Linked DNA regions of Elephas maximus indicus. The protein of the gene in region 3 purifies or fractionates together with the protein of the main gene of each other region. This does not show direct contact. Links are inferred from orthologs where the notes say so. Each region holds a gene or a part of one and is shown on either strand. Other genes may lie near its edges. The genes, in order: PON2, SIGMAR1 and NPC1.

The links.
Region 1: the proteins of NPC1 (region 3) and PON2 purify together in Homo sapiens (affinity purification with mass spectrometry; 3 studies listed by BioGRID and IntAct, with this or other methods). This does not show direct contact. The link is inferred for Elephas maximus indicus from reciprocal best matches to the Homo sapiens genes NPC1 and PON2.
Region 2: the proteins of NPC1 (region 3) and SIGMAR1 purify together in Homo sapiens (affinity purification with mass spectrometry; 3 studies listed by BioGRID and IntAct, with this or other methods). This does not show direct contact. The link is inferred for Elephas maximus indicus from reciprocal best matches to the Homo sapiens genes NPC1 and SIGMAR1.

What each region holds. Positions count from the first base shown.
Region 1 is NC_064826.1:65,314,764-65,322,007, forward strand, and holds the start of PON2 (serum paraoxonase/arylesterase 2), read right to left. Parts: upstream 3,012-7,244; 5' UTR 2,897-3,011; coding exon 2,823-2,896; intron 1-2,822. UniProt on the Homo sapiens protein: Capable of hydrolyzing lactones and a number of aromatic carboxylic acid esters. Has antioxidant activity. Is not associated with high density lipoprotein.
Region 2 is NC_064827.1:43,461,711-43,468,642, forward strand, and holds SIGMAR1 (sigma non-opioid intracellular receptor 1), read right to left. Parts: upstream 3,016-6,932; 5' UTR 2,783-3,015; coding exon 2,632-2,782; intron 2,483-2,631; coding exon 2,282-2,482; intron 2,160-2,281; coding exon 2,067-2,159; intron 1,206-2,066; coding exon 979-1,205; 3' UTR 104-978; downstream 1-103. Other genes in the region: GALT (galactose-1-phosphate uridylyltransferase), read left to right, coding at 6,175-6,256, 6,559-6,728, 6,927-6,932. UniProt on the Homo sapiens protein: Functions in lipid transport from the endoplasmic reticulum and is involved in a wide array of cellular functions probably through regulation of the biogenesis of lipid microdomains at the plasma membrane.
Region 3 is NC_064829.1:29,736,093-29,743,486, forward strand, and holds the start of NPC1 (NPC intracellular cholesterol transporter 1), read right to left. Parts: upstream 3,050-7,394; 5' UTR 2,841-3,049; coding exon 2,784-2,840; intron 1-2,783. UniProt on the Homo sapiens protein: Intracellular cholesterol transporter which acts in concert with NPC2 and plays an important role in the egress of cholesterol from the endosomal/lysosomal compartment.

The DNA.
Region 1 (7,244 bases), on a different chromosome or scaffold from region 3:
TCAGCTTATTTGGGGCTTCAATTATCTAATAAAGTTGTTGCTGTTGGGTGCCATCGAGTTGACTCTGTCTGAGTCATAGCAACCATGTGACAGAGTCGAGCTGCCCTTAGAGGGTTTTCTTGGCTGTAATCTTTACGGAAGCAGATTGCCAGGTCTTTCTCCTGTATAGCCGCTGGGTAGGTTTGAACCACCAACCTTTCAGTTAGCAGCCAAGTGCTTAACCATTCTACCACCAGGCCTCTTATCCAATAAAGTTACTGCCCTATAAAGTTATTACCCAATAAAGTTTATCATACAGTCATTATTAAGAAAAGATGAATAAATTATAAATTACCTATCAGGCGTGTTCTATGTCAATAAGCCTTATTTACCTTTTCTTAGTTTGCAACTATAACAGTTTTCATTCAAGGGCTTAAATTTAAAACCTTAAAATTAATAAGAAGAGAAAAACATTTACTGTTAATGGAGAAAACTCTAACTTGGTAGTGTGAACATCAGTGACAACTTAACGGGCTTGTGAATTTGGGTGGTTGCTATGAGTCGAAATCAACTAGACAGCAACGAGTTTGGGTTTTTTGATTTGTCTTTGAAACTGAGGGTAGGACAGATTATACAAAATCATCCAATTCAGGAATGGTCTGCAGAGCAGGATTGATATTTACATAACATGAAAGGTAAGCTCAGGAGGTCCATATCCTACCTCTAAGCCTCCTCCTTCATATCCGGCACCCCCTACCCATACATGTAACTCCTCTCCTTGCATCCTTTTTTCATCAGATGAAGCCACTAGACAGTTGAGTCCAAAACTCTAGTATCACCTTTGACTTCCCTGTCATCCCTGGGATTCAGGAGTTTGGACTTTTGTTATTCTCTCCAAAGTACTGCAGTGTCTTAACTAGTTTCCCTGTATCTATGCTCTCTGGAGTCTCTGAGTGATGCAAACGGTTAACACGATTGGCTGCTAATCAAAAGGTCAGAGGTTCTAGTGCACCCAGAGGCACCTAGGAAAAACGGCCTGGTGATCTACTTCCAAAAAAATTTGTCATTGTAAACTCTATGGACACAGTCCTACTCTGTCACCATGAGTTGGAGTTGACTCCACAGATAACTAGCATACTCTTCTGTGTTCTAGTACTTCTAACCCTGACTGCACATTAGAATTATCAGGAGAGCCTTTAAAAATAAAAACTACCAATGCCTGGGCCCTACCCTGACCAAATGAATCAGAAACTCTGGGAGTGAGACCTATACATCAGCCTTTCAGCAGACCCAGATGTGCAGCCGGAATGGAGAACCACTGCTCTACTCCACTCCATCCTTCCAGGTTCATCTCTAGAAAACGTAACTGGTTACCTACCAAACCCACTGCCGTTGAGTCAACTCCGACTCACGGTGATCCTAGAGGATGAAGTAGAACTACCCCATAGGGTTTCCAAGGCTTTAAATCTTTATGGAGGCAGACCGCCACATCTTTCTCTTTCCGTGCAGCTGGTGAGTTCAACCTACTGATCTTTTGGTTTGCAGTTGAGTGCTTTAACCATTGTACCACCAGGGCTCTTTCCAACTGGTTACACACAATCCTTTTTAAAAAAATATATATCAAGAAATATATATATATATCAATAGTCTCCCTTTGCCAACTTTTCAACCTATATTTTAACAGTCTCGAAACCTATCCTTACCCATCCTCTACTGTTCTCATCCCTTAACTTTATACTACTCTCCAATAGGTCTATTTTTAGTCTCCTAACTTTCCCATCTTACTGCCCTTTCTCACACTGCACTTTCCATCTGGTATGGCCTACTTCATCCCCAGAGTGCTCCACCCATCCTTCAAGGCCAATGTCAATGTCTCCTCCTCCTTCTTCAACTCCATCTTCAGTGAAGGTAATCCCTCCTCTTCAAGCCTTATAGGGGTTTGCTTATATCTGTCCTGGATATATATTTAATTTCTTCCTCCCTTACAATACAGTAAATGCCTTAGGACTCTATTACAAGTACCTAGAAAAGCATATTATCCATCGTTAGGTGTTCCAGATTTCTTGAAATTTTTTTCATGAGGCTTATAAGATTTGAATTGGTACCTTAAAAAAATATGATGTCTACCCACCAGCAGTTTTTTTTTTTTTTTTGGCTATAACCAAAATGTGAGCTGTAGTAGTGCCTGCATGTATTCGGCATTCTGAACTTTAGGGTTCCCAAGTGAATAGGTAAATACGGAAGTGATGTAGGAGCAGTAGCTGAGTATCTCAAGTGTTTTTGATCTACAGGGCCAGGATTAGAGAGCAGAAGTTTCTCAAACTATGCAGAGAAGCATGAAGAACAATTTTACTAAGGACGCGGGCTGGCGTGAGCAACAAAAGAAAAGCAATACCAATGACCTCAAATAAGTCTTTATAATTAAAGTTTCAATGCATGAGTAATTACTTTTGTTCTAAGTTAAAACATTACGTTAAAGCAACAGCTTGTCAACCTAGGCTGAAAAGAAAGCAGCAGAGGCTTAGAAACTGTCTAGAAGGTTGCCCAGATTCTGTCCTAACTTGGCTGGTTTAACCAAAAGCTGAGCGTGGGGGCGGGGATATTCAACTAACTAGTGAGCAGAGACAATCAAAAGTTCTTCAACTCCTGCCGAGGGTCCCAGGCCCCAGAATCGCGCCTCTGGAATCCCGGCCTCCGCCCTTGCCGGCGGCTGCCTGCGGGCTCCCGCAACCGAGCCTGGGGACCCAGGGGCCCGGGCAGGCTGCCGGGGAGGGGTGTCCGGGGGCACACCTCGCTGGCCTGGCTGCGCGCACGAGGGCTCCATTGGAGAAGGCCTCACCTACCTGAGGGCAAGGAACCTCTCGCCCAGGAGCGCCAGCGATATCCCCAGCAGGCTCACAGCCACCAGCCGCCCCATGGCGCGGGAGCCGGGCGCACGCCTCGTCCGGCCTGGGCAGGGAGTGCAACGGGCGGTGCCCGCTTCCCTGTTACGCCGGCGCCTGGCCGGGCTCCGCCCCGTCACCGGCTTCTGCGGGGCCCCTGTCCCGGGGCCACGGAGGCTCCGCCCTCGGCCCAGCCCTCGGCCTTTGTCCCCAGAAACCTATGTCCCCCAAAGCATACTTCCCCAGATACTTTCCATGGCACGGGGAACCGTCCCCCATGCCCTGGTCTAAGCTGACGGCTGAAACTTGGAATTCCCTCTCCTCCTTTTCCGAACAACCAGCCCACACAAAACCCAAAAGCAGTATGCGTACCATTCTCACTTCCCACTCTTCCAAGAGGTTCCTTACGCGCTATTCTGATAAGAAACTAATATTTTTTATTTTTTAATTACCAGGAAAAAAAAAAAGGAAACGAACATGTAAGTATCTCACGTCGGAATTACCACTTTTTACAACAGGATGGTAATGAGAGGAAAGGAACATCCTGTTTTTAGTAATACTTCATCTAGCCTAGAGACCTAAGGATTTAGACACTTCTTTTTGATCCAAACCCAGTTTATGGGACTAAAAGTTTTTTTTTTAATTTATTTTTAACTTTACCAACGTGAAGAAATAAAGGAAAACATATACATATGTATATGTATCAAAGAGAAACTTACCCACTAAGCCTGAGGCAGTTATACATGAGTAGATCAGAAATAAGCTGCTAATGATTTTCAGTGTTTACTTTTCACCCTATAGCCTGTGGAAGGTCTGATAGCGGAGACCCAGGCACCGCTAGGTCACCGTTGCCTTCCATTTTGCCCAGCACCACAGTATGTAGGCAGAAATGTCACAGTTAAAACAATTCTCAACAACGATTTCACTAACAACCAGTAAATAAAAGCAGACGCCAATTTCTCACCTTCCCCCTAAGGCCTCCCTCCAAAAATGACTCCCCTCCTTCTGTCTGTGCTTATGCCTAATTCAGGCCTAATGAATATTGAGTTCTACTGGATGGTGGATACAGTTGTCCTTCGAAGGTCCAGGGGCTTTACCTTTTTTGTGTGATATGCCTCTTTGACAGTCTGGTGAGCCTACAGATACCTTCTCAGAATAATGTTTGTGAGTGTATATAATAAAATACATAGGATTGCAAAGGAAACCAATGACTCGAAATGCAACTATCAAAATATTAACAAAAACAATTTTTTGCTATAGTATTATGTGTGCTACATTATTGACATATTAAATAACAAAATGGAGCACCATTCTTTCAAATAGTGATAAGCCTAAATGTTATTTCGAGATATCTGCCATAACTGTAATGTAATAATGAAAATAACTGCCATTTCTATTTGTAACAAAGTCAGAAGTACTGGTAATACCACTGAGCTTGTTGTCTACTTTCATAATTGACTCATGGCAACCCCATGTGTGTCAGAGTAGAACCATGCTCCATAGGGTTTTCGATGGCTGATTTTTTGGAAGTAGATAAGCAGACCATTCTTCTGAGGTGCCTCTGGGTGGACTTGAATCACCAACCTTCTGGTTAGCAGCCAATCATATTAAACATTTGCACCATGTGAAATTAAAATTTTTTTTTTCATCCAGGTGTATGAACCCCACTGAATTCTATCCTTTCGTAACTTGCGTTAAGAATCCTTCCTTAACCAAATTGATAACAGCAACTGGAAAGATTAGATAGGAGCTTTAGGGTACAGTGAGTTTATGTTAGTGGGGGAGGAAGAACTCAAAAAAGCAAGGTGAGAATGGTTGCACAACTCGAATGTAATCAATGCCACTAAATTGTACATGTAGAAATTGTTGAATTGGTGTATGTTTTTCTGTGTATGTTCTCAACAAACAACAACAAAAGAATCCTTCCATAGGGTAAAGCTATGTCTGTGTAGGTAGGGGTGGAAAGGGGCATATCTGTATAGGTAGGCAGGGACGTTTTTTGATGTCAATCACTGGAGAAGTGAAGAGCCTCAAATATTAAATCAGAATGTAAAATGAGGACCTAAAACAGAGTGTCGGTAACAACTGCCTGTGCTTCTCCCTTGGCCAGTCTGCAAGCCTTATTCTCAAGGATTCCTGGATACAGGCAATACAAAAACCTATGCCTCATGGACTCTAAATCAGGAGCCAGACTCAGAGGACTCCCTACATGTGTCACAAAATGAGAAAACCCAAGATTGTTTAAATAAGATAAACCTAGTTGCATGCTGGAAACCTTGGTGGTCTAATGGTTAAGAGCTACAGCTACTAACCAAAAGGTCGGCAGTTCAAATCCACCAGGCACTCCTTGGAAACCGTATGGGGGCAGTTCTACATTGTCCTATAGAGTCGCTGTGAGTGAGAATCAACTTGATGGCAGTGGGTTTGGTTTAGTTTTAGTTGCATGCTATTCTATAAGGTTATTTCCCTTTTATCATTCCCCATTTTTAGAAAAGTCATGTTCTTCATAGTTTGGTCTGTTTTTTGGCTATTACACAGAAATTAAAGTGTAGAATGTCTGCATTTTTTAGGCTGGTCTCAAGATTGTAAAAAAAAATAGCTCTAGTGCTGACTCCTCCCCTTGCCCATGTCAGACATCACTAATTTCTTACCAAGACCAGACTTGTCCTCACAATCTTTTCAAAAAACAAAAGAAAAAGAGAAATACAAATCCCTGAAGTGGCCACTGACAGATCTCAATCCAGGATGAACCCTATTTGCCATCTTGGTGCTGGGAAGTCAAGGAGAACCAAAGCCAAACCAAACCTGTTGCCGTAGAGTCAATTCCAACTCAGCAATCCTATAGGACAGAGTAGAACTGCCCCATAGGGTTTCCAAGGAGCAGCTGGTGGATTCAAACTGCTCACCTTTTGGCAAGCAGCCAAGCTATTCCAAAGAGAACAGTGTCCTGGAATTTAGCACAGAGGCAGTTGTGGTAAAGAACCAGGGCTTTCGAGTCCAGCAAAACCTACCTAACCACAATCTTAGAGAATCTTAGAGAAACGTCATTTCAATTTTTACTAACATGACCAATGAGCTCCCACAAGCTCTATCTTCTCAGCCCCACTACCATGCTAGGGCTAGAAATCATCATTTCTCACAGGTGGGTGGGAAGAGATATTTTCCGATTAGGAAATCAGAAACATATATCTTTTCCAGTTGTTACGTTATGGGGTTTGTTGCTAGCTGCCTCTGAGTTGCTCCCAACTCATGGTCACCCATGTGCAATGGAAGAAAATGCTACTGGTCCTGCACAATCTCCATGACTGGTTGCTGATTGGACTGTTGTGATCCGTAGGGTTTTCACTGGCTGATTTTTGGAGTAGATGGCCACGCCTTTCTTCCCAGTCCCTATTATTCTTGAAGTTCTGCTAAAACCTGTTCAGCATCATAGCAACACACAAGCCTCCACTGACAGACAAGTGTCACGTTAGGTTCACCGGCTGGAATCAAGCCCAGTTTCCTGTAAATATGGCAAGAATGTCACCACTGAACCATCAGTGTCCCCAAGAATGTCATAAAACCCATTGCCATCAAGTCGATTCTGACCCATAGCAACCCTATAGGACAGATCAGAACTTCTCCACAGGGTTTCCAAAGAGTGGCTGGTAGATTCAAACTGCCAACCTTTTTGGTTAGCAGCTGTAGCTCCCCATAGATCTTAACTGCCGCGCCACCAGGGCCCCTAAAACTAAACCCATTGCCATCTGACTCACAGCAACCCTACAGGACAGAGTAGAACTGCCCTATACAGTTTCTAAGACTGTAAATCTTTACAGAAGCAGACTGCCACATCTTTCTCCCGTGGAGCAGCTGGTGGGTTCGAACAAAGAACATTTTGGTTAGCAGCCCAGCACTTTAACCACTGTACCACCAGGGCTCCTCTAAGAATATTATATCTGTTATTACTGGCTATTAAATGTTATAAGAGAGCTTAACAATGTTTTGAGATAACTGGGATTTATAGGCTACACCAAGAACATAACCCCCAGTTTATGTTATTTCATGTGGAAAATTGGTTCTGAGTACCAAATAACCAAGTTACTGAATATAAAACAAATTTCCCTGGAACCTGTTTATATGCTGGCAACTCCTTATACTTGGTATGAACAGTCTTTATCAAATAATAACTTAAGATTAGATTATAATTAGAAATTTTATGGTTTTTAAGCAAAATTTCAAAAATAATGATACCTTATGTCAGTGCTTCTCAAACTGTCTAGTGAAGGACGAGTTTTTCTTTATTTCCAATTTGTCACAGACTGACACTTTTGTAAAATACAATGAAAAGGAATAATTAGAAAATGAATGAAAAATCAGACATAAAAAATACAAACCCAAATC
Region 2 (6,932 bases), on a different chromosome or scaffold from region 3:
TTATAGATAGGGAAACTAAGGCACACAGCAATACAGAGGCCTTCCTTAGGTCTTCCAGGAGTTAGCAGCTCTTCCTGCTGCTCGGACAACACAAAGAAATGTAACTGTTTGACAGGTCTTTATTAACATAGAGGACAGAGAATGCAGCAGGGGCAGTGTCTGGAAGCTGTGAGGTGTGTGCGGAAGGGCGATGTGAGTGTGCAGAGCGGGCCTTCTCTAAGCCAGGGATGGCCTCTTGGACTCAGTGTCACCTCTTCAGGCCCTCTCCTCAGTAGTGGGCCCTGGGCTGGGGTCAGCCTCCCATCATACCCCCAAGCGGGGGATGGGGGTCCTTCAGGGTAGTAGGGTCCTAACCTCAGCATTCTCAAGTTCCTGATTCCCCAGCTTATTTGGTTGCTGATGGAGTTGGGGACAGTCCATGGGGCACTTGCATAGCAAGGAAGCAGAATGAGTGTAAGGCATATGGTGAGGGCAAGGGAGATGAAGGGGAAGGGCATCACAGCTACAGGGAAAGGAGGCCTCCAAAGGGCAGCTTCTCTTCTTCCTAGCCCCTCCAAATTACTGCTAGGTTGAGGGGTCAGACCCAGGCAGAGTGTAATACTCACCCCATCCCTAACTCCAGAGCCCTGATTGAGGGTGGGGAAGGTTTAGAAAGGCCCGAGTTAGAGAGTCAAGCTTATGCTATATGTGTTTGAACATGACTGCCCTCCTTGGTACACGTGGGGCTCCCTCTCTCAATGGGTGTGAGCACATGATTGCTGTCATACCTACAGATCTCAGTATCTGCATATGTGTTTCATATGTTCCCACCGGTCTCTGTGTTTGGATGTATAAGCATATTATGTCCCTGCTTGTACACCAGGAACTCAGTATCTGCATGGTATGAGTATGTTCCCAAACACATGGGCTCCAGCAAGTGGACATGTGCAGGCCTGCCCGCTCCTGTCCATCCACAGGTCCTCCTTCTGGCCCTGCTGGTCAGTGGTCCTGGCCAAAGAGGTAGGTGGAAAGCTCAAGCCGGAGGCCCCGGGCATAGGCACGAAGAGTATAGAAGAGAGTGAGGAAGTCTTGGGTGCTGAAGACTGTGTCAGCCAGTGCGAAGGCCAGGGTAGATGGGATGACACCCCGGCCGTACTCCACCATCCACGTGTTCGGCCCCCACTCCACAGCTGTTGCCTCTCCAGGCCCGTGCATCACTGTCTCCCCTGGGGGACAGGGAGCACCCATGTGAGAAGCCCAGCCCAGCCCAGCCCAGCCCTGCCCTGCCCCTCCATTGCTGCTGCTTCTATAGCCTTTTGGCTGTCTAGGTTGGAGAATAGAGAGGGAGCTTCAGGAAAGGAAAAAGCCCTACCTCACTGGCCTGGTCTACTATCTGGAAGAGTAAGAAGCCCAGATGGCCACTCCTACATATCCCTCTGTGGCATCACCTGACCCATGACTTCTCTTGGGGAAAGCCATGGAGGGCCATTGGGAAGCAGACCCATTTCACCTCCATCTCACCTGGCCATGGGCCACAGTATGAAAGTCATACCCAAGCCCCACTCAAGTCAGGCAGAAATCTAGCAAACCTTAGGCTAGGCCTGTTAGATAGGGAGGGGTGGTTAAAAGACTTGCGAGGCTTTCTGAGAAATGCAGCTATTGAATCCCGATGCCTGGGGTGCTTGTATCAATCAACCTCAAATTTACTTGAAAGTCCAAAGCTCAATTTTCTATGTAAATGCTTCATTATGGCGGGGGGGAAGACAACTGTTTGCCTTGAGGGTATGAGAGCATTTCTGATTACCCAACTGTCTCCTCCACAATTGTTGGATACTGGCTAAGTAGAATAGATAGATAAAAATCAGACATCTTTAATAGCAAGCTGTTATGTTTTTTTTTCTCTTTGTCAGAGGAAAGCAATAGGGGCCCTAGGCCCTGGTCCAACCAACAAACCACTTGTGGCTTAAGGGGGGGGACCACGGCGAGGACCCTCCAGGGCACCCTTTCCCAAAGCCATGGCTCCCTAACCCAACTGTGGACACACCCAGGTGGAGGGGACCCAGCTCTCTGACAGCCTTTCCACCCACCTGGATAGAAGACCTCACTTTTGGTGGTGCCCTCTCTCCACTGGTGGAAGGTGCCAGAGATGATGGTGTCCGAGATCTCAGCCCAGTAGCGCCCTGAGGGAAAATCAGATGAACATCGTATATCAGGGTATCCGCGGCGGCACATGATGGCGCCAAATATCAGAAACGAGGGTATGCCCCCCGGCCTCCTAGTCCGGCCCGCCGCCAGTACTGACCAGAGTGGCCGCTGGAGCCCAGGGCGGTGCCAAAGAGCAGCACGTACTCGGACAGCGAGGCGTGCAAAAGGCACATGGCGCCCATCCAGCCACCCGCGTTCACGAACACCCATTGCAGCTCCTCGTCGGGCAGCACGTGGCCTGGGTGCAGTCGCCGCAGCTCCACGATCAGCCGAGAGAAGGCCAGCTCGTGGTCCAGCCCTGGCGAGGGCAGAGGAGTGGCGGAGTTAGGGCCGGCATCGGTCCTGGACTCGGGGACCGTACTCTCGGCCGGCCCGCCTCCTGACCAGCCCCGGGTCTCTCTCGTCCACCCGGGCTCGACCCAGACTGCCCGTCTCCCGCCCGCTCACCCGCATACTGCCGTGCCAGCTGCGCGATCTCTTCGTGCTGGAAGACGAAGCTCTGCGTACCCAGCCAGAGCCAGACGACTTGCGCCAAAACAGCCGCGGCAGCCAAAAGCAGCGCGGCCCACGCCCACCGCCGACCTACGACCCACTGCATCCTGGATGGCGGCCTGGCACAGCGCGGCGTAGGAGGCGACCTGGAGTCGAGCCGGAGCCTGTGGCCGTGACACTGCCTACAAGCCCAAGGCGCTCCGCCACCGACCAGCTCCGCGGCTACCGCCGTGGTATGGCTCGATCTGGCCAATCGGAACGGCCTAGGCACCCGAGCACCGCCCCTCGGGCGGAACCATTTCCTCGAGGGGAGAGCGGAGAGGTGAGGCGGCACGCGCACCTGAGGCGAGGGGGCGGGCCAAAACGTCGTCTTGGCGGCTGACGTCGAGGACGCCAGGCAGGGTCTCTCCTAACGCAACGCTGCATGGAGTCGGTTTGGGCGGAGTGAGGCCGGAATGGACTGACCCGCCTAAGCCCACTGGCTGGTGAAGCAGGCGATCCCGGAAGCAGAGCCTTCCGGGATCTGTGATTATTACCGCCTGGTTTTGCTAGCACGGAACCGGGAGTGGGGGGCGCTGGGGGGAGAACGCAGTTCATCCTGGGGGCGTAGGGAAGGCTGGCGGGGACACCAACGGTGTCTTTAAGAAAGATGGGAACTTAAGGTGATGGAAAATTTGGCAACGGATACTGGTGATGGCTGCACAACACCGTTAATGTAATTGGTGTCACCAAATTGTACACGTGAAAAATTGTACATGTTGAATTGGCAAATGTGTTATATATATTTTTACAAAGATTAAAAAAAAAAAAAGATGGGGCAGGCTTTCCAGCTTAGGGGACCAAGATTGTTCTGAAAGACAAAGTGTGAGAAGGGGGCCTTGTAAATCCCTGAGGGTTATCAGTTGGGGAGTGATGAGATCACATTTGGGGCTACAGAGTAGAGATTAAATTGGAGGGGGGCAAGATGAGAGTCAGGGAGATCGTGACTATGGAAGCAGCAGTCAAGAAATCAAAGGACCTATTGCATTGGGCAAATCTGCTACAAAAGACCTCTTTAAAGTGTTAAAAAGCAAAGATGTCACTTTGAGGACTAAGGTGCAACTGACCCAAGCCATGGTATTTTCAATTACCTCTTATGCATTTGAAAGCTGGACAATGAATAAAGGCCAAAACTATGGTGTTGGCGAAGAATATTGAATATACCGTGGGCTGCCAGAAGAACAAACAAATCTGTCTTGGAAGATGTGTGCAGCCAGAATGCTCCTTAGAAGTGAGGATGGCAAGATTTCCTCTCACTTTGAACATGTTATCAGCAGGGACCAGTCCCTGGAGAAAGCAGAGGGTGAGCAAAAGAGAGGAAGACCGTCAACAACATGAATTGACACGGTGGTTGCAACAATGGGCTCAAGCATGACAACAATTATGAGGATGGCCCAGGACCTAGCAGTGTTTCATTCTGTTGTACTTGGGTCACTATGAGCTGGAACCAACTTGGTGGCACCTAACAACAACAAAGATGAGAGTCAGGGAGACCATGACTATGGTCCAAGTGAGAGAGGAGGTCTGTGTCTGTAGAGATGGAAAAAAGAAATGAGCGTGAGAAGTACATTGGAAACAAAGTTGGGAGGACTTGATTCCCTCTTCCTGGAATACTCTTTTCCCTCCATTCTAACTCCCCCTTATTTGGCTAACATCCTTGTTCATGCCCAATGGGCAGCTGAGTACTCTGGTCTGGAGCTCAGATCCAGTCAGAGAGCTAGGAGTTGTCATTCATTCAGGCAACAGATGTTTTCTTAGCACCTGTATGTACCAAGTTCTGTGGTGGCTGATATGGCAAGCATAATTCCCAACCCATCTTAGAGATCTCATGGGGGAGCCTACATAAAAGGTGGTAATTAAAACCTAAGAAAGTGAATAAAATCTCACAGGAAGGGAGTACAGAGAAAGATAAAGCCAAGCCTAGAGCCAGCACTTAAGAGATAGAGGAAGGAAGAAGTGACCAAAAAGGAAGAGAAGTAAAAGAAATAAAAGAGGCAGCATAGTGCAGTGATTAAGCAATAAGCCTTGGAGGTGGACTGCCTGGGTTCAAAGCTCGGCTCCTGCTACCTACTACTTCTGTTATCTTGAACAAGTTACACTCTGTGACCTAGTTTCCTCAACTATAAAATAGGATAAAGAACCTACCTCACAAGTGCTGTTATGAAGATTAAATAAGTTAATATTTATAAAGCAATTAGTGCCTGGCATGTGGTTATGTGGTGAGCATTATATGTGTTAGTAATAAAAATAAAATATAAAGGAGAAGAGAACTGGAAGAGAGTAGTCTCACACATGGGAGTAACAGAATGAAGGGTCAACACAGTCAAAAGTAACTGAGAGGTCCAGTAAAGTGATGGGAAGTGGTCATGAGATTTCTCAGTAGGGGCATGTGGCAGAGACAATGTTAAGCATTCATAAATCTATTTCCTTTTGCTCTCAAGCAAACGGATTACATTCCACAGTCTACTTGGTAGTTAGAAGGAACCATGTAATAGGCAGAAATAATATATGGCACTTACAGGTCTGGCTCCAAAAGTCTCCAGTGAAATTACTTACCTTCTCACTCTACCTCATCTATTGTCTTGGATCTAGTGGAGAATTTGAGGCCCTAGGAAATGGCAGAGCTACTAGATGGATGGAGCCTGGGTCCCTGAAAGCTGCATGGAACAGAGTCTCCCCCCGCCCCGCCCCCCCCCCCCCCCCCCCGTGAACTGTGGTGCTACGCGATTGAGTTTTGGGGGTTGTTTGTTACACCAATGGGTTTGAATTTTTTTTTTTTTGGTATAGCCCTCTTACCCATCCCACTGTGCTTTTGGTCTCTGTGTATGTGTGTATGTGAGAGAGATATAATACGGTTACTTAGCCTTTTTGGCAAACCTATTTCTGCTGCCTGGTGGGGAAAGGGTACGGAAATGCTAAGTATCCATTCCTCCCGGTAACATCTGAGGTCAGGGTTCTGATATAGCAGATCAAGCCCCCCCGCCCCCCACCGCAAAGTAGACGCTGAGCAGGGAACTGACGTGATTGTGGATCCAGGAGTCATGCACTTACTCTGCCTTAGAACGTAAAATGTGGGAAGGCAGAAACCATGCCTGACTTGTGCACATAGGGATAGTCCTTGTGCCACGCACAGCCTAGGTGCCTGGCATATGGTAGATATTCAGTAATATTTGTTGAGTGAATGACCAAATAAATAAATGAATGCAGCAAAGAGTTCTTGTAAGCATCCAGGCATCGAGATACTCTGCAGTAGGCAGCTTTCACAAAGGTTCTTCCAGAAGAGAGGTTTCCACCCGAGATAAGAGTGCCTCTCGCGAGCTCCTCCCCCAGGAGGCCGGGCGGGCCTCTCAAGCAGTCACGTGCTGGCGACCGGCCAATCGGTAGGGGCGGGGCAGGCCCCGACTGGAAGGGCGAGGGGCGGCCCGGCAGACGTTCCAGTGGGATCTCCGGGTTGGCGTAATGTCGCTTTCTGGAACCGGCACTGGGCAGCGCCAGCAGGCGTCAGAGGCGGACGCCACAGAAACAACTTTCCGGGCGAGTGGTAATTGCAGGGCGGCCGGGACCCACAGGGACGCGGAGCGGAGCCCAGCCCTTATTCTGGACGTTCTCTCCCCACCCGCAGGGTCCGAACGCCCACGCTTGGCCAGGCCGGCGGGGCGAAGGGAGACCCCGGTGTTTAGGCTGCAGGCCAGGCGACGCTGGGAAGGTCCAAGCCCGGACCTTTGGGTCAGGAGCAGGGCGGGACCGAGAGGGCGCCTCTGAGCTAGGGCTGCTAGTCGGTGAGACCCAGGGGATAGCGGGCGGTACAGCGCTTGCTGATTGACCTTGACCGTCTGCCCCTAGAGCATCAGCATATTCGCTACAATCCGCTGCAAGATGAGTGGGTGCTGGTGTCAGCTCACCGCATGAAGCGGCCCTGGCAGGGACAAGTGGAGCCCCCGCTTCTGGAGACAGTGCCGCGCCATGACCCCCACAACCCTCTGTGTCCTGGGGCCACACGAGCCAACGGAGAGGTAAGCTTTTAGAGCCCACATTCGCTGGGCCAGCACGAGTGGCACCCACTTAGAACTGCCCCTCACCGACGGGGCTGTGGACCTCCTTCTGAGTCAGATCCCATCAAGCCTTTGTTTGTTCCCCAGAGTGGGCCCTTGAAGCCCACCTGATAGCTAGTAGTATGGGGCAGCATCCCCATAGCTCATCCTTGCTACTAGGTGAAT
Region 3 (7,394 bases):
CTGCAAACCTTGTGAAGGGCAGTTAGGCTGCAGTCCTGTGATAGAACTGTAACAGTACTCAGACCAAAGCCAGGAGCTGCTATCACAATCTGTTCTGCTTCAAGGTTCCAATCCACCTGCAGGTATACTGAAAGCCTCTGCAACAAGGAGGACATTACTTTTTAAAATAACTACAAGTGTTTCTTGTTAAAGGCTTCCAGGCATTTTGCAAAAGTCATGACTAACCTCTGATGACCTATCCCAAATGTCCTAGGAGAGAAACTCTTCTGCCACCAGCCTTAGATACTTGTTGTTGCTGTTAGGTGCTGTCGAGTCACTTCCGACTCATAGTGACCCTACGTACAACAGAATGATGGAATTCACCGGCGTTCCTGGGAAACCCTATGGGCAGTTCTAGAGACTCTATAGGGTTGCTATCAGTCAGAATCGACTCCACGGCAACAGGTTTGGTTTGGTTTGGTTCCATCCTCAGGATTGTTGCCGTACTTGAGCCCATCTAAAAAAACTGGCCAGTGAAAAACTTTGATAAAAAGATTTAAAAGGATTTCAGATAAATTAAAGCTATTTAATAATATGAAGCCTATTAGGTCTTTATCTAAAACTCTAGGGAAACTGAATAGCTCTACTTTAGGGCACATAATTCCTTTTATTTCTTTGGTTTTTATCCAAGAGGTATGGTGATGGGGTCTCTCCGTATATCATGTCACTTAATAACCCCAGTAACTCTATTCTCAGAAGAGACTAAGGTTGAGAGAGCAACCTGCTCAAAGCTACAGAGCTAGTGAGTGGCCCACCTGTTGACCTCACCTCAAACCCCTTCCTTCCCAACCAGGTGCCCTTGGGTTCATTGCACTACCAGAAGTATGCTCTTGTACAACCTCACACTGCTGCCCTCCCCAAGCAACCACACACAGGAAGGAGCCACCTCTTCCCTTGGCTCTTCATCCTTCACTGGGTCAACATCACCTATCACCTCCCAGGAACCACACAGTAGAAGTTTAAAGAGAGGTTTTTCTAGTCCAGGGAACCTCTTAATCTATCTTCCTCTCTGATCCACTGGACCCCTCAACACTGACACTCCTGTTTGAGGGGGTTTGTGGGCACAAGGGCACAGTCCCCGGCTGTAACAGGATGTCCCAGAGGTTCACTTTTCCATTTTTTTTAAACTGTACTTTAGATGGACATTTACAGAGGAAACTAGCTTCTTATTAAATAATATACATATTGTTTTGTGACACTGGTTGTCAAACCCACAATATGTCAACAGTCTCCCCTTCTCAACCTTAGGTTCCCCATTACCAGCTTTCCTGTCCCCTCCTTCTTTCTCATCCTTGCCCCTGGGCTGGTGTGTCCATTTAGTCTCGTTTTGTTGTGTGGGCCTATCTAATCTGTGACTTCATTACTGAGCTATAAGGATGTCCAGGGGTCATACTCTTGGGGTTTCTCCAGTCTCTGTCTTTTTTTTTTTGTTAGTTAGAATTTTGTTGTACGTTTTTCTCCAGCCCTGTCCGGGAACCTCTATTGTGATCCCTATCAGAACAGTTGGTCATGGTAGCCAGGTACCATCCAGTTGTATTGAACTCAGTCTGGTAGAAGCTGTGGTACCTGTGGTCCATCGGTCGTTTGGACTTATCTTTCCCTTGTGTCTTTGGTTTTCTTCATCCTCCCTTGCTTCAGACAGAGTGAGACTAGTGGAGTATCTTAGATGGCTGCTTACACGCTTTTAAGACCCAGATGCTACTCACCAAACTAGAATATAGAACATTTTCTTTATAAACTATATTATGCCAGTTGGGCTAGATGTTCCCCAAGACCATGGTTCCCACCACTCTTTCATCCTAATCCAGTGTAATCAGCATTATATCCTCCAAACACTCCCACCCCAGTTTTCAAAGGGAAAACTCTGGACACACAAACAGCAATGAGGCACTCATGCCCAGGCTCCAAATCCAAGAGAATGCAGGTCCAGGGAGTGGGACGCCTGAGTTCCAGGTCCCATCCTGTCACTAGCTAGTATCCTGACAAGGGAATTCAATTGTCCCCTATGGACCTCAGTTTCCTGAGATACAGAAAAGTTGGGAAGAAGAAACCTGCACTCTTCACAACACCAAGCCGACTTACATAAAGCACTTTAGACTGTTCCGATTCAGTACTTAAAGAATTTTGTTTGTTTTCGTGGTCAGATCTTGTAAAAAAATTTATAAAGAGTTCATGTACATGTGGCAGGAAAAAAAAAGGCAGGGTAAATAAATAGGTCAAACCCTGGTGGTGGTGGTGTGGTTAAGTGCTACGACTGCTAACCAAAAGGTTGGCTGTTGGAATCCACCAGGCGCTCCTTGGAAACTATGGGGCAGATCTACTCTGTCCTGTAGGGTCGCTATGAGTCGGAATCGGCTCGACGGCAGCGGGTTTGGTTTTTTTTTTTTTTTTTTTTTGGTTACCCTTCTCTATCTTCTCTTCTTCTCCCTTCTGGTCCCAAAGCCTAAGCCCAGAATCAGGTGATCACAGCTGAAGCGAGCTCGAAACAGGTCAAACGAGCTGTCCCCAGTTACCCATCCTCTTCCAGATCACAAGGGAATAGAGCTTGGCAGGAGACAGACGAGAGAAGTGGGGGACCTCGGGGACCCCATCAGTCGACCAACTTCCCCAGAGCCGGCCGGGCCCGCGCCGCCTGGGGGTACCGGGCGCCTGAGCCGCGGCAAGGCAGGGGCACGGCCCGGCGCCCCCGACTCTGGGCCCACCACGTCCCCCACAGCCCGCTCGGGTCACCGGCGGCCGCTCACCTGCGCCAGACAGAGCAGCAGCAAGAGGATGCTGAGGGCCGGGCTGCGCGCTCTCATGGTGCCGCCGCACGGAGCTTGGTCACAGATGCTCGGGTCCGTTCGGCTCCACGTCCCGGGTGCCGCCTCACTTCCCTGGGCTGAGTTTGTGGACCTAGCGCCGGCTGAGCGAGGGAGCAAGCGCGGGCAGCTGAGAGCTGCGCGCGCAGGTCAGGAAGGGAGGAGGTGTCGCCGGTCCCTCCTCCTTCTGGGCGGGGCCGCTGCCGAGACTCCAGGGCCGACTCGGGGCGGGGCCGGGGGCGGGGCCGGGGCCGGGGGCGGGACTGTGCGGCACTGCCCAGGCGATTTCTCCGGGTACCGGCGTTGTAGGTCTCCTCCTGGGTGCGGCGTGGGGCTGGGGCTGGGGGTAGCTTCTGGGGTTCCCCAGACCTGGGCAAGCTGAACTTTTGGAATCCGACCCGGAGGATATTTCTGCAGTCGTGCCAACAGTACATGATTTTGGTGCTTTAACGGGTTTCCTTCCTTTTTGCCTCTCCTGTCCGCAACTGGAAACCCTGGTCGCATAGTGGTTAAGAGTTTGGCTGCTAACCAAAAGGTCGGCACTTCGAATCCACCAGGCGCTCCTTGGAAACTCTATGTGGCAGTTCTACTCTGTCCTATAGGGTCGCTATGAGTCGGAATCGACTCCACAGCAACGGTGTTTTTATCTGCAACGGATCGTAGGGATGGCGCGGGACCTGGCAGCGTTTAGTCCTGTTGTGCATGGAGTCGCCGTGAGTGAGTGAGACTCAAGGGCGGCTAACAATAACAGGTTGGAGGCGGCTGAGATAAGTGCTCGGAGCAGTTTCTCCTCCCAAACTCAGTCAGCCAAAAGGAATGGGGCACCAGCTCGGGGCGATGACGCACAATGGCCTGATTCTGTAGATCCGGAGCGCGGGTGGGGGGTGGGAGGCGGGAGCTCGGAGATGGGTGGAGCCCCTTAGTCACCCTAACTTTGTTTACTGTCAACGCAGCCGCGTTTGGAGAAAGCGTTAGAACCGCGCCACCTGCTGGCGGAGCAAAGCGTAGCAGTGAGCCCTTTGGCGCGGGGACACTCCCGGCGGGGGCCTGCAACGCCTATTTTGAAGCTCTAGGTGAAGTCGACGACGGCAGTGGGTTTTTGGTTTAGGTGAAGTTAGGTAACACGAAGATTGAAGTAGACGTGTCTTTGTTCATGAGTCTTGCACTTATATATACATATCTATATATTTGCATTTCACTTATTTTTTATTGTATACATTTCTGGTAACATTTTCCCTCGGATTTTAATTCTTCAGACCACTCAAAATCATCAGTCTTTTCCATTTTGAAGTTAAGGAAATGCAAGTAAGGATCTATTTACCCAAGAGTGGAAGCCAGTTTTGAAGGAAAAGACTATCCACCTGTATGAAAGAACAAAACCAGTGCAAGGTCTTACTACGATGGAGGTGACACTTGTTCTGTGTGCCCACCCTTACTCTATCAGTCTTAGAAGAAATACAAACAGAATGCTCCTTAGAAGCAAAGATGGAAAGACTTTGCCTTGTTTATTTTGGACACCTCATCAAGAAAGACCAATCGGTAGAAAAGGACATCATGTATGGTAAAGTGGAGGGTCACTGGAAACGAAGGAAACCCTCCATGAGATGAACAGACACAATAGCCCTAACAGTGGCCTCAAACATACCAACAGTCATGAAGATGGCGCAGAACTGGGCAACGTTTCGTTCCGTTGTACGTAAGGTCATCACGAGTCAAAGCCAACCCCATGGCAGCTAACAACAATCCCTACCTACGGAGGCTGTTTCAGTTGCTCTCTTGCCTCCCCACCTCCTCAGCCCTGACACATCCACCTGAATGCCCTGGTAGTGAAACTATAGGCATTTCCTCCGGACTTTCAGCCCTGGATCTTCCGTGACTACCTCCTGGCCCTCATTCAAATGTGTGCTCCCCCATTCCCCAGACTCCTGCACTTGGTGGTTCAGCTGATGACAAAGTAGTATGTTCTAATGTGGTGGCTTTCAAAGTGTGGTCACCTAATGGTCTCAGGGGACATCTACGTCGGTTAGCATAACATAGTACATAAAGAAAATGTTCTACATCCTACTTTGGTGAGTAGCATCTGGGGTCTAAAAAGCTTTTAAGTGGCTACCTAAGATACATCTATTGGTCCCATCCTGTCCGAAGCAAAGGAGAATACTAGTCCAAAGTACTAATGGACCACATGGACCACAGCCTCCACCAGCCTGAGCTCAGAAGAACTAGATAGTGCCCAGCTACTACCACCCACCACTCTGACGGGGATCTCAATAGAGGGTCCCAGACAGTGCAGGAGAAAAATGTAGAACAAATTTCAAATTCACAAAAAAGACCAGACTTACTGGTCCAACAGAGACTAGAGGAATCCCTGAGACTATAACCCCTGGAAAACCTGCTAACTCAGAACTGAAATCACTCCTGAAGTCCACCTTTCAGCCAAAGAGTAGACGGACCTATAAAACAAACAATAACACATGAGGGATGTGCTTCTTAGTTCAATCAACAAGACCAAATGGACAACACCTGCCCAAAAGCAAAGATGAGAAGGTAGGCAAGGACAGGAAAACTGGATGGATGGACACAGGGAAACCGGGGTGGAAAGGGGTAAAGTGCTGACACATTGCAGGGATTGCAACCAATGTCATAAAACAATTTGTGTATAAATTTTTGAATGAGAAACTAATTTGGACTGTTAACTTTCACCTAAAGCACAATTAAAAAAAAAAAAAGTGTGGTCACCTGACCAGCGGCATCAGCATCACTTGGGAACTTGTTAGATATGCAAATTCCCAGGCTACACCCCAGATCTGCTGAATCAGGAACTCTAGAAGTGGGGCCCAGCTTAACAGTTGATTTGGATGCAGACTCAAGTTTAAGAACCTCTGTTGTAATGTATTTCCTGGATCCTGGTAGGTTACTTATCCTTCTAATTTTCACAAAGTCTTTATGGAAAAAGAGAAAAAGAAAAACCTTACTAAGTAACTGATGTGAGTAAAATAAATTTCAGGCACCATATGAGACATGTGGGGGATGTGCAGGATTTTTTTTCTTTCTTTTTTTATTAATTTTGTTGTGAATATACACAGCAAAACATACACCAATTCAATTGTTTCTACATGTACAATTCAGTGACATTGATTACACTCTCCAAGTTGTGCAACCATTCTCACACACCTTTTCTCAGTTGTTCCCCCTCCATTAACATGAAGTCATGGTCCGCCTAAGGTTCCTATCTCATCTTTCAAGTTGCTCTTGTCAATTTGATCCCATCTAGATAGTTCTTAAGAGAATAATGCTCAAGGCATTTTTTTACTAGTTAAGCTAAACTATTGTTTGGTTTTAAGAAGACTTCAGGGAATGTTTTTGGTTTAAAGTTTAAAGCTTATCTCAGGGCAATAGTTTCAGGGGTTCATCCAGCCTCCATGGCTCCAGAAAGTCTGGAGTCTATGAGAATTTGAAATTCTGTTCTCCATTTTCTCCCTTTTGATAGGGATTCTTCTACATAATCTTTGATCAAAATGTTCAGTAATGGTAGCTGGGGACTATCCAGTTCTTCTGGTCTCATGGCAAAGAAGGCTGTTGTTCATGGAGGCAATTAGCCACACGTTCCATATCCTCCTCCTATTCCTGACTCTCCTTCTTCCTCTGCTGCTCCAGGCCAATAGAGGCCAATTGTTCCTAGATGTCCCCTTGCAAGCTTTTATGACCCCGGGCACTATGCAACAAACTAGGAGGTAGAACAGAAGCACTGAATAAGTTATTACACCAGTTAACTGGGATGTCCTATGAAACCATGACCCTAAAACTCCAAACCAAGCAACCAGATTCCCTGAGGGTTTTGGTTGTACATAAGCAACCTCAGCAGCTACTCTTTTTTTTCCCCATTGTAAGTATATCTATCACATGACTTTCACCAATTCAAGTTTTTACAGGTGTATGACTTAATGATAGCAATTATAGTAATCGGCTGTGCAACCCTACCCTTAATTGATGAGATTTTCCCATTACTGTTAATCCCTCATTCCCACTCTTCCTCCTGCCTCTGGTAAACCACTAATAAACTTTGGTCTCTATACTTTTTGATGGACAGAATTTTTTTTTAAATAATTTTTATTGTGCTTTAAGTGAAAGTTTACAAATCAAGTCAGTCTCTCACACAAAAACCCATATGTACCTTGCTACACACTCCCAATTATTCTCCCCCTAATGAGACAGCCCGCTGTCTCCCTCCGCTCTCTCTTTTCGTGTCCATTTCGCCAGCTTCTAACCCCCTCCACCCTCTCATCTCCCCTCCAGGCAGGAGATGCCAACATAGTCTCAAGTGTCCACCTGATCCAAGAAGCTCACTCCTCACCAGCATCCCTCTCCAACCCATTGTCCAGTCCAATCCATGTCTGAAGAGTTGGCTTCGGGAATGGTTCCTGTCCTGAGCCAACATAAGGTCTGGGGGCCATGACCACCGGGGTCCCTCTAGTCTCAGACCATTAAGTCTGGTCTTATGAGAATTTGGGGTCTGCATCCCACTGCTCTCCTGCTCCCTCAGGGGTTCTCTGTTGT